Medicago truncatula: one gene and its partner. Each later gene encodes a partner of the first gene's protein in a complex. Links are inferred from orthologs where the notes say so. Each region holds a gene or a part of one and is shown on either strand. Other genes may lie near its edges.

Evidence for each region.
Region 2: probable signal peptidase complex subunit 2 (region 1) and probable signal peptidase complex subunit 1 share a complex: the UniProt entries of both Arabidopsis thaliana proteins name them as parts of the signal peptidase complex. The link is inferred for Medicago truncatula from reciprocal best matches to the Arabidopsis thaliana genes AT2G39960 and AT2G22425.

What each region holds. Positions count from the first base shown.
Region 1 is NC_053046.1:36,325,932-36,333,179, forward strand, and holds the start of probable signal peptidase complex subunit 2, read right to left. Parts: upstream 3,082-7,248; 5' UTR 2,990-3,081; coding exon 2,909-2,989; intron 2,802-2,908; coding exon 2,650-2,801; intron 1,753-2,649; coding exon 1,671-1,752; intron 477-1,670; coding exon 334-476; intron 189-333; coding exon 92-188; 3' UTR 1-91. Other genes in the region: peroxisomal nicotinamide adenine dinucleotide carrier, read right to left, coding at 6,060-6,253, 6,818-6,872, 7,082-7,150. UniProt on the Arabidopsis thaliana protein: Component of the signal peptidase complex (SPC) which catalyzes the cleavage of N-terminal signal sequences from nascent proteins as they are translocated into the lumen of the endoplasmic reticulum.
Region 2 is NC_053049.1:38,610,105-38,616,036, forward strand, and holds probable signal peptidase complex subunit 1, read right to left. Parts: upstream 1,848-5,932; 5' UTR 1,693-1,847; intron 954-1,692; coding exon 672-953; 3' UTR 529-671; downstream 1-528. UniProt on the Arabidopsis thaliana protein: Component of the signal peptidase complex (SPC) which catalyzes the cleavage of N-terminal signal sequences from nascent proteins as they are translocated into the lumen of the endoplasmic reticulum. Dispensable for SPC enzymatic activity.

The DNA of each region.
Region 1 (7,248 bases):
AATGTTGAAAATGTATAGAAATGTAAACCACATCCAAATACATGTTTATCCTCATAAAAGCTCTTTGCAGAACTAAGTTCATGACTCCATATCACTTACTCTTCTTTGGTTCTTTTGTATATTGAGCAATTAGAGCTTCAACTTCCTTCCAGAAGAGGCCCTCGACCAAGACTCCATCCTTAGTGAACCTGAAATCCAAACAAAAGACAGATTGATGCATTTCGATTACCAAAAAATCAATGCACGCGTGATTACTGATTCACATGTCCGGTGTCTGTGTGAATGATTATATAAGGGATATTATATAAGAGATGAAGGGAAAAAGAGAAATACCACTGGGTAACACTTTTGGTAAGATGTACTGGTTCATTTGCAGAAACCGATTTTGGATCGGCGCTTTCTATGGTAAGTGTGTACATGTCAGAAAATCTGGGTAATTTGGAGGAAACTACCAAACCGGTACTGGTAAAGGAACCCTGTAAAAAAGAAATAAAAGCCAAGTTGGAACACACTGATGTATGTCTGAAACTTCTGCTGAGAGAATAAAATCAAAAGCATTACTTGATTTGTTAACACAGTTCAAAGACGAACCTAAATCTTTTTTAGATAAATGAAAATAATATATTCTATCACCAGCAGCCACTACAAAGACAAAACATGAGATATCTACAGTCTACACCGAACAGTTTGCATCATCACACGTGACACTAATTGATACATGTCATGACTTACCCTCTTTAAATCACTATTGAAAAATGAAGCAACATCCAAATTATGATTCAAAGCAACCAAAACCATAAAGAACTTTAGTAGTTTAGGTCAACTCAAATTTCATATGAAAATGAATGAAACTTAGAATAACAAAGATAAAGGCGGCACTATCCTGGTCAAATTTTCAACCTAAAGACATGCCATAATCTGCATAAATAGTTTGGTAGCCTTGTTTTTAACCCATGGATGTGAAAAATTATCCTGCTGTAACTTTTATCAACTTAAATTGAAATTCAAAAAAAGGATGTAGAGAACATGATAGAGTGCTACCGGATTATATTTACCCAGAGGATTGCTACACTTTTTTCAACACTCACTCTAACATCCACTCTCTTATTGGGTGCAACCAATGTGAGTCCCAATAAGAAAGTGAGTGTTGAAAAGAGTGTCCCTTAGCATTAATTTATTTGCCCATACATAATAAAATGTTAAATGCAACTAAATATAAAATAAATATTACTCGCTTATCAAACCACAATTAGTTTCAGCTATTTGTCAACTTCGTGTATGCCCTGTTTAACATGAGTGCTTAATGTTTATCATGGTTCTTGAGCTGAAACAGTCATCTTCAAATAAATGTATTTGTATGTATCTTTATGCCTTACTATAGTACAGTCCTAAATAAACTAACCAGACATTAGCATTATTTGTCCCTCCAAAAGAGGAAAAGGAACATGCTAATTGAAACAGTAAGAAAAAGGTATACTCTTGTCTCAATCCCTTTCTCTAACAGACACAAAATGGCACACAATAGATTATAGAAATATGACAATTCTTAAATGTTATTTCTATATGTTGAAAGTGGATTAAAATGGTCAGATTAAACAACAATTGAATCAGTGCACAAAACAGGGGGCTATTTAAAGGAATGTGCTTTAGCTAAGTTCACAGAAACTTACAGTCAGAGGATAAGTAAACAGAATGGCATTCTTCTCCTTAGTGTATATGATCAGCTGCAATACCAAGTTGAAGACTACATACGTACGAGAGTCAAGGATCAAACAACAATGAAGCAGAAGAATGAGTAGACTTACAAACACAAACAATCCCATATCCCTTTTCACATAAATCATCAAATTCATTTAGGCAAAAACCTCAACAACTTTCAATTAAAGCAACTACCACATCACACTCTACTTCAAAAAGTTAATTCCAAACATTTCATTTTCAATACACACACACACCTTTCAATTTAAACAATTCCCACATCCCACTCTACTTCAAAAAATTAATTGCAGATATTTCATTTCCAATACACACGCTCCTTTTAATTTGAACACACACTCCTTTCAATTTGAACACACACACACACACAAAAACACACTCCTACATACAAAAAAGAGTTCTCATTTTGAAAAATCCTTAATTTAGATATTTATTTATCAAATTATCCCCATCCAAACCATAAAAAACATAACAAAAACAGTACCGTCAATCACAAATCACAGAAAATAGCAGTTTGTTAAAATTCCAGTAGGCTACAGTGATATAGTTCTCCTATAATTGTTATTTCACAACACTTTTTATTTTAATTTCTAAATTGCATATTGTGAATCAATAGTGGTTTGCTCTGTAACACCGGCACATCTGATCAAAACCGTAACCGACTCTGACACAACATCGACACATGTGATCTCATTCAATTATGCCATTTTCTTAAATTAGTACTGATATATCCATGTCTGTGTCTGTGTACGTGGTTTGTTAAAACTCGGCTACCCTATATCAACATTATATCCACTATTTGACAACAGTAAACAAAAAAATCCAATTTTTCTCTCTCACTAGGCAATATCATCAAGCATGTATATATATTTTTTAAATTAAACACACACACATATACACACAGTGAATAAATAAAAAGTATGGAAAGGATATAAGGCAATGCAAGCAAGAAGGAAATCGCGATTCTCCGGAAATTTCTTCTTGTAAAACTGAGCAAAGAGAGCAATGACGATGATAACAGACCCAAGCAACAACCTAATATTGCTCAATTTCACATCCTCAACATACCCACGACCCGTTATAACCTACAATCCAAAATTCAAACCAATTCAATCCCAATTAATAAACAAAAATACAACAAAATTCGTCAAAAAACAACAAGATCAAAAAAATTAGGGTTTAACGAACGAACCTCAGAAGCAGACTCATCGAGAATGTGCTTGATTGAATGGTGATCTAACAGATTCGCTTTCTTCTGTCCTTTGGTTGCCATGTTTCGAATTCTTCGCTGAGACTTCGCTTGACCCAGATGAGAAGAAGAAATAAAACTGAGAATTTGCGCACTGAATAATAAAAACCTTCGTTTTTATTTTATTGATTGTTACATCAGAAAGTGACGATGCACGTCATTGTAAGATTTTGGTCCAATCAGATTTTATTATTTTTGCATTATATCAATACTAATATTTGATTGGATAAATTATGTGGCAAAATACGATTGGATGGAAGTCTAATTCTAATAAACTTGCTAAATCCCTCAAAAAAAAATAATAACTTGCTGAAAAAAATTCTATTAAACTTATTTTTTTGGTTACAAGTCTACTAAATTTTTTTCCTTTAAAAAATAAAAAATCTATTACATTTTTTATTTATTAATTTTTTAAAATTTGGTAATATAACTTGTATGACATCATTTAAAACCATAATAGAACTCTATATGGACTCAACCCATGTAAAATGACACTAGAGAATTGCATTTTATTTTTTATTTTTAATTGAATGAGATTAAAAATTAAAATAAAACTCAGTGTCATACTATCCTCGTAAGCTTAACTCAGTTGTTATCGATAATACATAAAATATGCAAGGTTCGGAGTTCGAACTCCGGCCACCACAAAAAAAAAATCAATGCCACAAATGAATTAGGAAAATAAAAATAACGAATAATGTAACATAATATTTGTACAACTATTTTATAAGATAAAAAAAGAAGATTATAAAAATTATCACAAAATCGTTGTACAAATATCACTACTTCAATTTAAATAAATTTTACATATTATTTTTGACAAACACAAACTTAAATCATTTTATTCATCAAATAGTTATAATACATGTTAAAATATAAAAATATGTGCTATGATAAAGACAAATAGACAATGTCACTCTGGTTAACAAAAGAACAACTTTATTAGTTTATTAGTTTGTGTTCCAATAAAACTTTACCGAACTTTGATAAAGAAAAAAATAAAAAATCTACAAACATTTAAAATAGTACTAAATTTTGAGGTATGACACTAGCTTGATATTTAGTTCTTCTGTCATTCGAGTAAAACTCCAATTCAAAAGCCACAAAAGCACTTCCCGCAGGTAATTTTTTAGAGAAACCGGTGTAAATTAACTTTACACGAATGTGTAATCGTGTTTGTCCCCTATGATAGCATATAAAAGTTTTGAAACAATGTTTTACTATTAATCTTTTTTTTGGCAGTGAATGTTTTATTAATCTTTACAAATGTTAAAAGCTCGCAAAGACTTGCTAAAAAAAAAGTTTGCAAAGATATTAGATATGTTAGAGTTCAAATTATAATCTGCAAATTTTCATAACTCTTGTGTATAATTTCGTTATTTGTTTTTTTTATTTACAAAGTTATTTGTTTCTTTCGAAAAGTGTAATTTCGTTATTAACTTCCTTTGAAAAGAAAATGTAATATTTAACTTTTTTATGATAATGTTTTATTAAAACGCGAGGAAAAAAACAAATATTTTCACAAAATAATTGCTTGTGAAAATCCTTTTTTATTTTTTTTAAGAATTAAAAATGGAATATATTACTACGATAGTGGAACCTCTTTAGCACAAGATATACTAAAAAGACCACTCCAAAATACAATCAGTCAGTCAAAATATGTAAAACTTTTATATAGATTTGACTTTTCCTAAAAGGTTTTTTTCAAAGAAAAAAACTTTTATTGGGAAGGGAATACTATTTGATTAATAAAATAATGAAGCATTTCATCATGTAAAAGTTTGGAAATGCTTCAAAAGATATATCAACTATGTTTTTTTTTGGTAGAAATATATTAACTATGTTAAAAACATAAAAGAGTTTTGTTTTAAAAAAAACATAAATAAGTAGTAAAAATAAAAATGTTTAACACAGTTAAAAAGATTTAAGAGCATTCACTACATATTGAAGCATCGTCCGCCTTCTCACATAATTTAATAAAGGGAAATGCTAACCGGTGCCCCCGGGACACTGGTTAAGGATATGAAAAAGGAAATTATATAGTAGTTAATACATTGAAATTGTGTAATTAATTTATAATAAAGTCAAAAACAGTTTTCTTTATGGTAATAATTCTCTTTTATGGTATGCTTAACCAATGCCCCGGGGGCACCGGTTAGCAGGACCCTTTAATAAAATCCATAATAAGTTTTTTTTACCCAATTAAATAAAATCCATACTTTTTTATCACTGTATTAAATAGCTGGAGGTTTTTTTTTTATTTATAAATAAAACACGTTAATCTTCTTCAAAAAGAAAACAAAACACTTGTTAATATTGCATTTAACTCCTTTTTTTTATAGTCAAATATAACCTAATAGAAGCTTTCAGTTCTCACTTGTCTGTTCAACCTATTCAATAGGGTGTTGGCCATATATGACCACTTTGAGTCCCTAGCAGGGCAAAAATATATAGTACTATGAGAAAAGTGAAAACTAATTCGACCTTTAAAAAATTCAAAGAATAACATGAAAGTTATCATATAATACTTCAATCACATTTAATTGATTCGAGAAAATATGTTAGCATCCGTGATTTAGAAGAGAATCGTAAGTTTCCCCCTCATGTTCTATCCAAAACCCTCAATCCAAACATATCATAAGTATTCTTGCTATTGTGGAGGTGCATGGTTACTTCTTTATCATCCACTAGCAAGATAATTTGGAACCAAACAATATGTGAGTACTAGCTGACCATTCGACTATATTAGGGTCGGTTTGATGGACATGATAGAATATACAATTTGATGCCAGAAAAAAATACTACAACTTCCATTTATTGAACATAGAATTTTACATCAAAAGTGAGAAAGCAAATATTATAAATGACATACAAGTGACTTAGCATGTAAGTTTAAACACAAATTTCCATTTGGAAGCATGTCTTGAATAATAATCATATTTAAACTTTAAAGCCGTATTTTAATCTCCTATTCATGAAGTAACAAATTTTTCAATGGCACAGTCTATTTCCTATGATTAAATTGAATATGCTAAATAAAGATGGTTCGTGAATCATTGAATCTGAGGGAAACTAAAATACTTGATTTGCCAAATCACACAACTTTTGGCTTTAAAGTGTTGGGAACATTCTTCGCAAGCAAGGAACGAGTCTGCTCAACTAGTTTTTCTTTCACCATAAACAAAACAGCTGCAGCAAGAACACTTTGTACAATTTTGGTTCCCATACCTTTGTAAAATCCATTAAACCCTTCATAGCGTATCATCTTAATAATAGCATCCTGTGTACCTGAATTTGAAGAACATACTGCTTCAGAGTGTAATCAAAGAATATAAGGAGTAAAAACATCTTTTTTTGTCCCTAAATCACTATAATTTTGATCTAGTCTACACATGAGTTCTATAATGTTATTATCACTATAGTCTTCATTGAAACTATATGTCGCACTGACACTTGAGATTAAAGGCATGTCCGAGTGTCCTGGGCACCGACACGACACTGACACTAATAATTACATACAATCCCTTCTGCTGTGTCCGGTGTCCATGCTAGTGCTTCATACTACCTAACACCGTTCAAATTATTAAGAGCAAATAAACATGGATGCCATGCCACATAGTATTTCCTTATGCTGACTTGGCCAATATGCATATTGACAGGGAAGCAATAGCAGAAGCATTTATAACAATGTTAAACAAGAGTCAAGAGCAATAATCATAATCTAACTCAAGCAAAGCAGGGCTCATGACCTCGCATTTGGAAAACCAGATCGAAAGTACATATAAAACACGCAGCTATTGGATTATGAACCGTATTCACGGTATAATAAGAAAAGATTGTCGCAACTTAAACCTTTATAATTGTGTCTCTTGTCTCCATTGTTAACTTGTCTAGCTTGAAGCCTTGCCTGCGATAGCAACAAAATCAACAAAACAGATTCAGAACAATATTTTGGATGCACTTTCCTGGTTTAATTTTGTCAGTTCCTTCCTCCTTTTGTTCTTAAGAATAATGATATGCCAGCACAATGTAATTAAGAAATGAAACATATCGACTATTGACAATGGAGTATATTAACAAACACAACGCAAAAAATGGCATGAATGCATGATATACCTTTACAACAAGAAGAGGATAGGTTACAACTGTAGCTCCAAGCTTAGCGACAGCTCCGAGAAGAAATATCTAGTTACACAAAGCAATCTTTAGTCTAATGTTGCGGAAATTTTAAAACTTACGTAATAGAAAATGTGAGTGAAATCATTCATATGTCATTTTAGTTT
Region 2 (5,932 bases), on another chromosome or scaffold:
CAGATTATTTCAGGCTGCCTCGCTAAAGTTATCGATATCACCGACTCATTTTGTAATTTGCAAAAAACACCACATGTCTACATTTTTCAAAAAGGTTCCACCAAACATACAAAAGGAGTGATGGCAAAGTGTGAAGAATACATTACAAAGTGAGCACTAAAACGAGAAAAGTTTCTCGATTTGTATATGTAACAGAAGCTACAAGAATCCTCTTGGTTAAGATATAAAACCAATTTCTTTGAAAACCATAAACAGTAACAGTTATATATGCCAACCCAATTCAGTAAATCAGCACCGAAGGGCGAAGGGGGCTAGTGCTACACTAAAAGTGAGCACTGTTAGAGAAGGCAGTACTTTGAGTAGCTCAAATCATTTAGCAATAAGTTATGCTAGGGACCGACTTTGAACACCAACAAGAATCAGAAGACAAATGTTAGTCTGCCCCATTATATTATCAAATATCTAAAAGAGATGAAAAGAAGAGAGAAAAAAAAAAGCATAAAGGTAAATGCCAATCGAGACAAGCAATGTCGAAAAGAAAACAATTATATAATTGTACTCTAAGAAGTTAAGTACATTGTATTGTGCAGAAGGAAATGCAAATTTCTTTCGAAGCATCAACTTCAAACTTTAAATCACTAAGTACCAACATAAGCAACAAAAAAATAAACCTACTTTTTAATGGATTTTTTCTTTGCAGCTACATTCGAAGATGGTTCTGGCTTTGGATGCTTTTCTGCTTCGCTCGGGTCTAACCACTTAAGAGGATGATGGTTGAAGAAGGGCCAATTGGGAATAGTGACTAATGTGGTGAGAATAACACCACCAGCATATATGAGGATCATTGTTTGGAAAGAAGCCGTGATATATCCAGCTCCAAACGCAATCACAGCAAATGCTAGCAGCAGTATCTGCATCAGTTGCTCTGCTAGCTTTTGACCTTCCCAATCCATCTAATCCAACAAAGACAATCAAGAGAAAACACTTAACCACTAAGAAATGAATGCCAAAAACATTACTTTAAAAAAAAAAAAAAACACAAAACACAAGGAATATTTAAAGCCATGAAAAGGGTTATACATTTTTTTTACGGTAAAAAAAAACTTCATTCAAATGCTAAAATAGCGAGGGTACAATCAAATTGGTTACGAGGTGAGACATTCCCCATCCATATTTTGAAAGCCAAATACATGTTATCAATACACATAAAAATTTCAGAAAGCAAAAGTAAATTAACAAACCAAACTCTTTCATTTGTGAAAGGGGTTATACATGTTTATGATGTCCTTACATCTAATACTTAAGATTGCATTTACTGATAAACAGCTTAAATCACAAACGTATATAATATAAGTACTTATGTATAAGCTATCTATTTCTATAGCAATAGACACAATAAAGTCAAACTGTTTTCATATAAACAACAAGTTATTTTCACAAACTATCCGAGAGAGCATATGGAAATAAGCTGTAAAACAGCTTATGGACATAAGTCAGTCCAGTTTTAAAATGCTTATAACTAGATCTATTATGGCGATATTATGTTATTAAAATTTTTAAAAAAAAATAAAAAAAAATATCAAAATTGAAAATCAGTGTGTACCTAAAAGCTGGTTGTGAAAGCGTATAAAAAGGGAATATGCAATGAAAATTGGAAAAGAAAACGAAAGTAAAAACGGAGTGTGATGATACCTTATGAGAGAGAAACGGAGAAGAAGGAAGAAGGTGGTGGTGTTGATCGATCGAATTCAATTCAATGTCTTTATGAATTTTAATCTCAGCTTTTCTTACCCTTTCTAACTTAACATTAGATATACGTAATGTTTTTACTCTCTGCCAATTAAAATTATACACGTCGATTATTACACGTAATGTCTTTATGTTTTTACCGTTCCGTAATTCCAAAAATTGGCTCCGCAGCAAAATTGCTGCAACATATAAATTGTTTCTTTCCCTCAAAAAAATAAAAAATACATTGTCTCTTCATCTTTCCTAAAAAAAAATTGTTTCTAAATTATAACCGATGGATTATTATTTTTAAATATTTGCTATTTTATCTGTGTTTACATTTATAATCTACAACTCATTTTTAATCCACTCAGCTCTTCGCCAAGATCTAATTTAACTTCTTCAAAGTATATTATCTATTATTGTTGAATGAAGTTGGTTTTAAAGCTTTTTGTATTTTAAATGAGGTTGTTTGCAGTTTGTTTTTAATCCTACATTACTCAAAAAATTTGACATTGAGTAACTTAAATATTCATTGTTAAAGATTTAACAAGATAAAAATTAAAAAAAAAACATATTTTTTCAAAAAAGATATGTCAAAAATGACTTTTACGATGAGTTATTCAAATATGTTCTCATTTTAAGCATTTTTTTATTTTATCATAAAAAAATCATAACAAAATTAAAAAAAAAAATACTTTTAATTTTAGAATGGTCACTTTTCTCACTTTTACTTATATTGCATTTGTTCACGGTAAACATATTTCGTAGAAATGTTAAAATTGTTTTCTTTGATGATGATTTTAAAGAGACATTTAACATAATACATTCACAATCTATTTGGGGTTGGCTTAGTGGTTGACTTGAGATTTTGAAGTGTGCTTGCTTTTCTCAAGGTCTCAGGTTTGATTCTTATAGTGTCAATTTCGGCGGGCAAATCCATACAGTACAGGCTTAGAACGGGGTCTCCGCAAGTGGACGGTAGAATTGGTCCATTCGAATTAATCGATCATTGAATCGGATATTGAGTTTTCAACCAAAAAAAAAACATAATACATTCACCCGGTGTTTTTCATAATCCAAAGAAAGTTTGTAAGTTAAAAAAATGCCCCCATGAACTTAAACAAGGTCTAAATTTCAATGCAATATACACAAAATGAATAATTAACTTTTAAGATAAATGATGTTTCTAAAATCATTTTAGAATATTTTTTTTCTTTTGAGACAAAAACTATATACCGCTAAAAGTTGTTCTAAAATGATCGTTCAATATCATTTCTCCAAATTTTAATATCCGGCTTCAAAAAGTGTGAAATGAACCTACCCTGCGTTTTGATGTCTCAAACTCCATTGTGACCATTTTCCATCCATCATTTGTGTTTCCTCTGTTTGTGTCATAAGCTTCTAATAACTCTTGTATGCAATATTCAGTCGCGAACTGCACATACCTTCCCATGTTATGGTTACAAATGGTTCAGAGATTAACACTTGTTTGAAATTTAGACAATTCAATCCAAGCAGACCATAAGATAGTACTTATGGTTTTAAAAAATTGTAATGGTTCTAGTTGTATTGAAATTGCCGAAAATAGCTAACAAATGTGCTGATGTGCCACAACTGCGGCTGCAATATGGTCCCAACAACCACAATGTGCTCATAGACTTTAAATTCAAAACATATGATTAAAGTGCTTAAACCAAATCTAGATCAAGTGAATAGACATTTTAATTAGCCCTTAAAGTAAGCGTTAAGTTCATCTTCAAATTTACGAAATAGGAACTTAATACCTTAATTGAAAAGAAGAAAAAAAAAGCAATTAATTCATTCCTTCAATCAAAGTGTATTTTAAACTAAATTTTTGTCATCACAAACAATGCCAATGAAACTGCACCCCCGCCAACAACACAAAATTGACATGTCAGCGATGTACAGAAACAGTGACATTGGGACAACAATAAAATGCCTCATGCATATTCACTTTGTTAAAGTTTCAGTTCACATGTGATGTTAATGTAGAACAAGTTCACATATGTTAATTCCTTTGGTGGCAATGTGGGACTAAAAACACTTTTTACTTTCTTTCTACTCCTCACACCTCACTTGCCACTCACTTGTAATAATATTACTTGCAGTTCCATATGCAAAGCTTTTGTGCTGCTAAATTAAAATCATGTTTGGGAGTTCAGTATTCTGTTTAAATTGCCAAACCTAGTATCAAGATCCAGGTTCAATCAAGATGACATCAAGTTCAATTTCATAAAGTGCAATCAATGTTTTACAAGTCTGATGGAGAACAACTTTGCTATGTCGGAACGGTACTATGATAAAAATCTAGTGGCTATGGATCCATTTTAGATGAATATTTTGTTGAGCCAACAGAAGAAAAGAAATAAAAAAATCAAAAGTTGAACGTCAAAGACCCTTAAGAGATTTAGATATCATATCATTAATCAAAACCTTATTTTATTAGGTAAATAAGCCACATCCCTTATATATTCAACATTTAGTTCATTGATAGTCGACCTGATATTAACCACTCACACTTGAATCCAACACTTAAATGTCAAAAACAACAAGCATTGAAATATTGTTAGCGTGTTTATAGGCATGACTTAATCTTCAATGGCAACATCTCCAAATTATTAGCTGAATTCAAGGAGAATGTTACGACACAATTTGAAATACATGGATCTGATATCTTACTTATTGGCCACTGAGGTTAAACAAATGTCTGAAGAATTCTAAAATGAAAACTTGTAAACCAATCTTACAAAGATTAAAGCTTACAAAAGGTGGGGGTAACCTTGTCAATGCAACTAATTTCATAGGTTTAAAGGAAAATATAAGATATTTAACTACAACAAGACCTTACATATCTTACACATTGGGATGGTAAATTATGAATTAATGTCGACAATCTAATTAGCAAACAACAAAATGGATTAGAAGATATATTAAAGGTGTAATTGTGATGCATTTGAAGTTAGCACCAGCTGATCAGCCCTCAAGTGATGTGAAATACATGAGAAAGTACCATTACTTATAAACAAACATAATTCTGATGGTCCTTACCAAGCTAAATTCTTGTTGATATTCACTTTGCTCAAGCACAAATTAACGATCAGATTCGCAAGAAGATTGATAGCTAAGAAAGCAAATCTGCATTATTAATATAAAAATCAAATCACCATAACAATAGACTTATGGACCTAAGGCTTCAGATTCAAAAAAGAATAATAAAACTACTTTTTAATGGATTTCATCTTTATAGTTACATTCGCTTTGGATGCTTTGAATCACACCTCCGGCATATGTGAGGAATGATGATCATTGTTTGGAAACAAAAAAGAGAAACATGATTATGGTGGACCAACGTTGATACCGGAAAGAATTTTGAACTCGGATGTTACCATGAAAATAGTGCTAGCCAGCACTATCACCATGGTATGCGCTACAAGAGGTGGCAGAATACACATAACACAAACAGACAGTAACATGTTTGATTCTCTTTTCAAAAACTATTTTTAATTTTTAAAAACTAAAACACAGTTTTGAGAGGAGATTCTAACAAGCCTACATATGAAACAGTGTTATTGACAGTTATTTAAAACAAGTTAATGAATGCAATGTTTCTTTGCAGCGATGTGGGACTACAAAGCATTGTTTATTTCTACTATCTACTCTCCAATTCCACCCTTAACTTGCTACTTTAAATAATATCGGTTCCACTTAGTTGCAGTTCTATAATCAAATTGTACACCCATGGTGTTTGTCCTTTAACCATTTTGTCTAAGCATTCTCATAATCATCACTGTTACAACAATTTTGCATTAGCAGTTCCATTTAACTTTCTTATTTTTTATTGCACTTTATTATTAACAATTTGAGAAAGAAAAAAAATACAATTGTGATAAACATTGCGATAAATAAAACTACAAACAGTAAAAACAAATAGTGAATGGGGGTTTTAGGAAGGATAAATTTATAATTAATGAAGTACAAAATTTATCATATACACGTAATTTTTACTCGCTTCCTATTAAAACTATACACATGGATCAATGTTTCACTCCATTTGAATTAACATCTTTACCCTTCCGTTAGTTCCAACAAAATTCAATTCAAATGTCACCAAAAAATCTCTCCAACATAGAAATTGTCTCTTTTTTTAGGGTCTCAAATGTTTGTTCAGTTGTTAATGGAC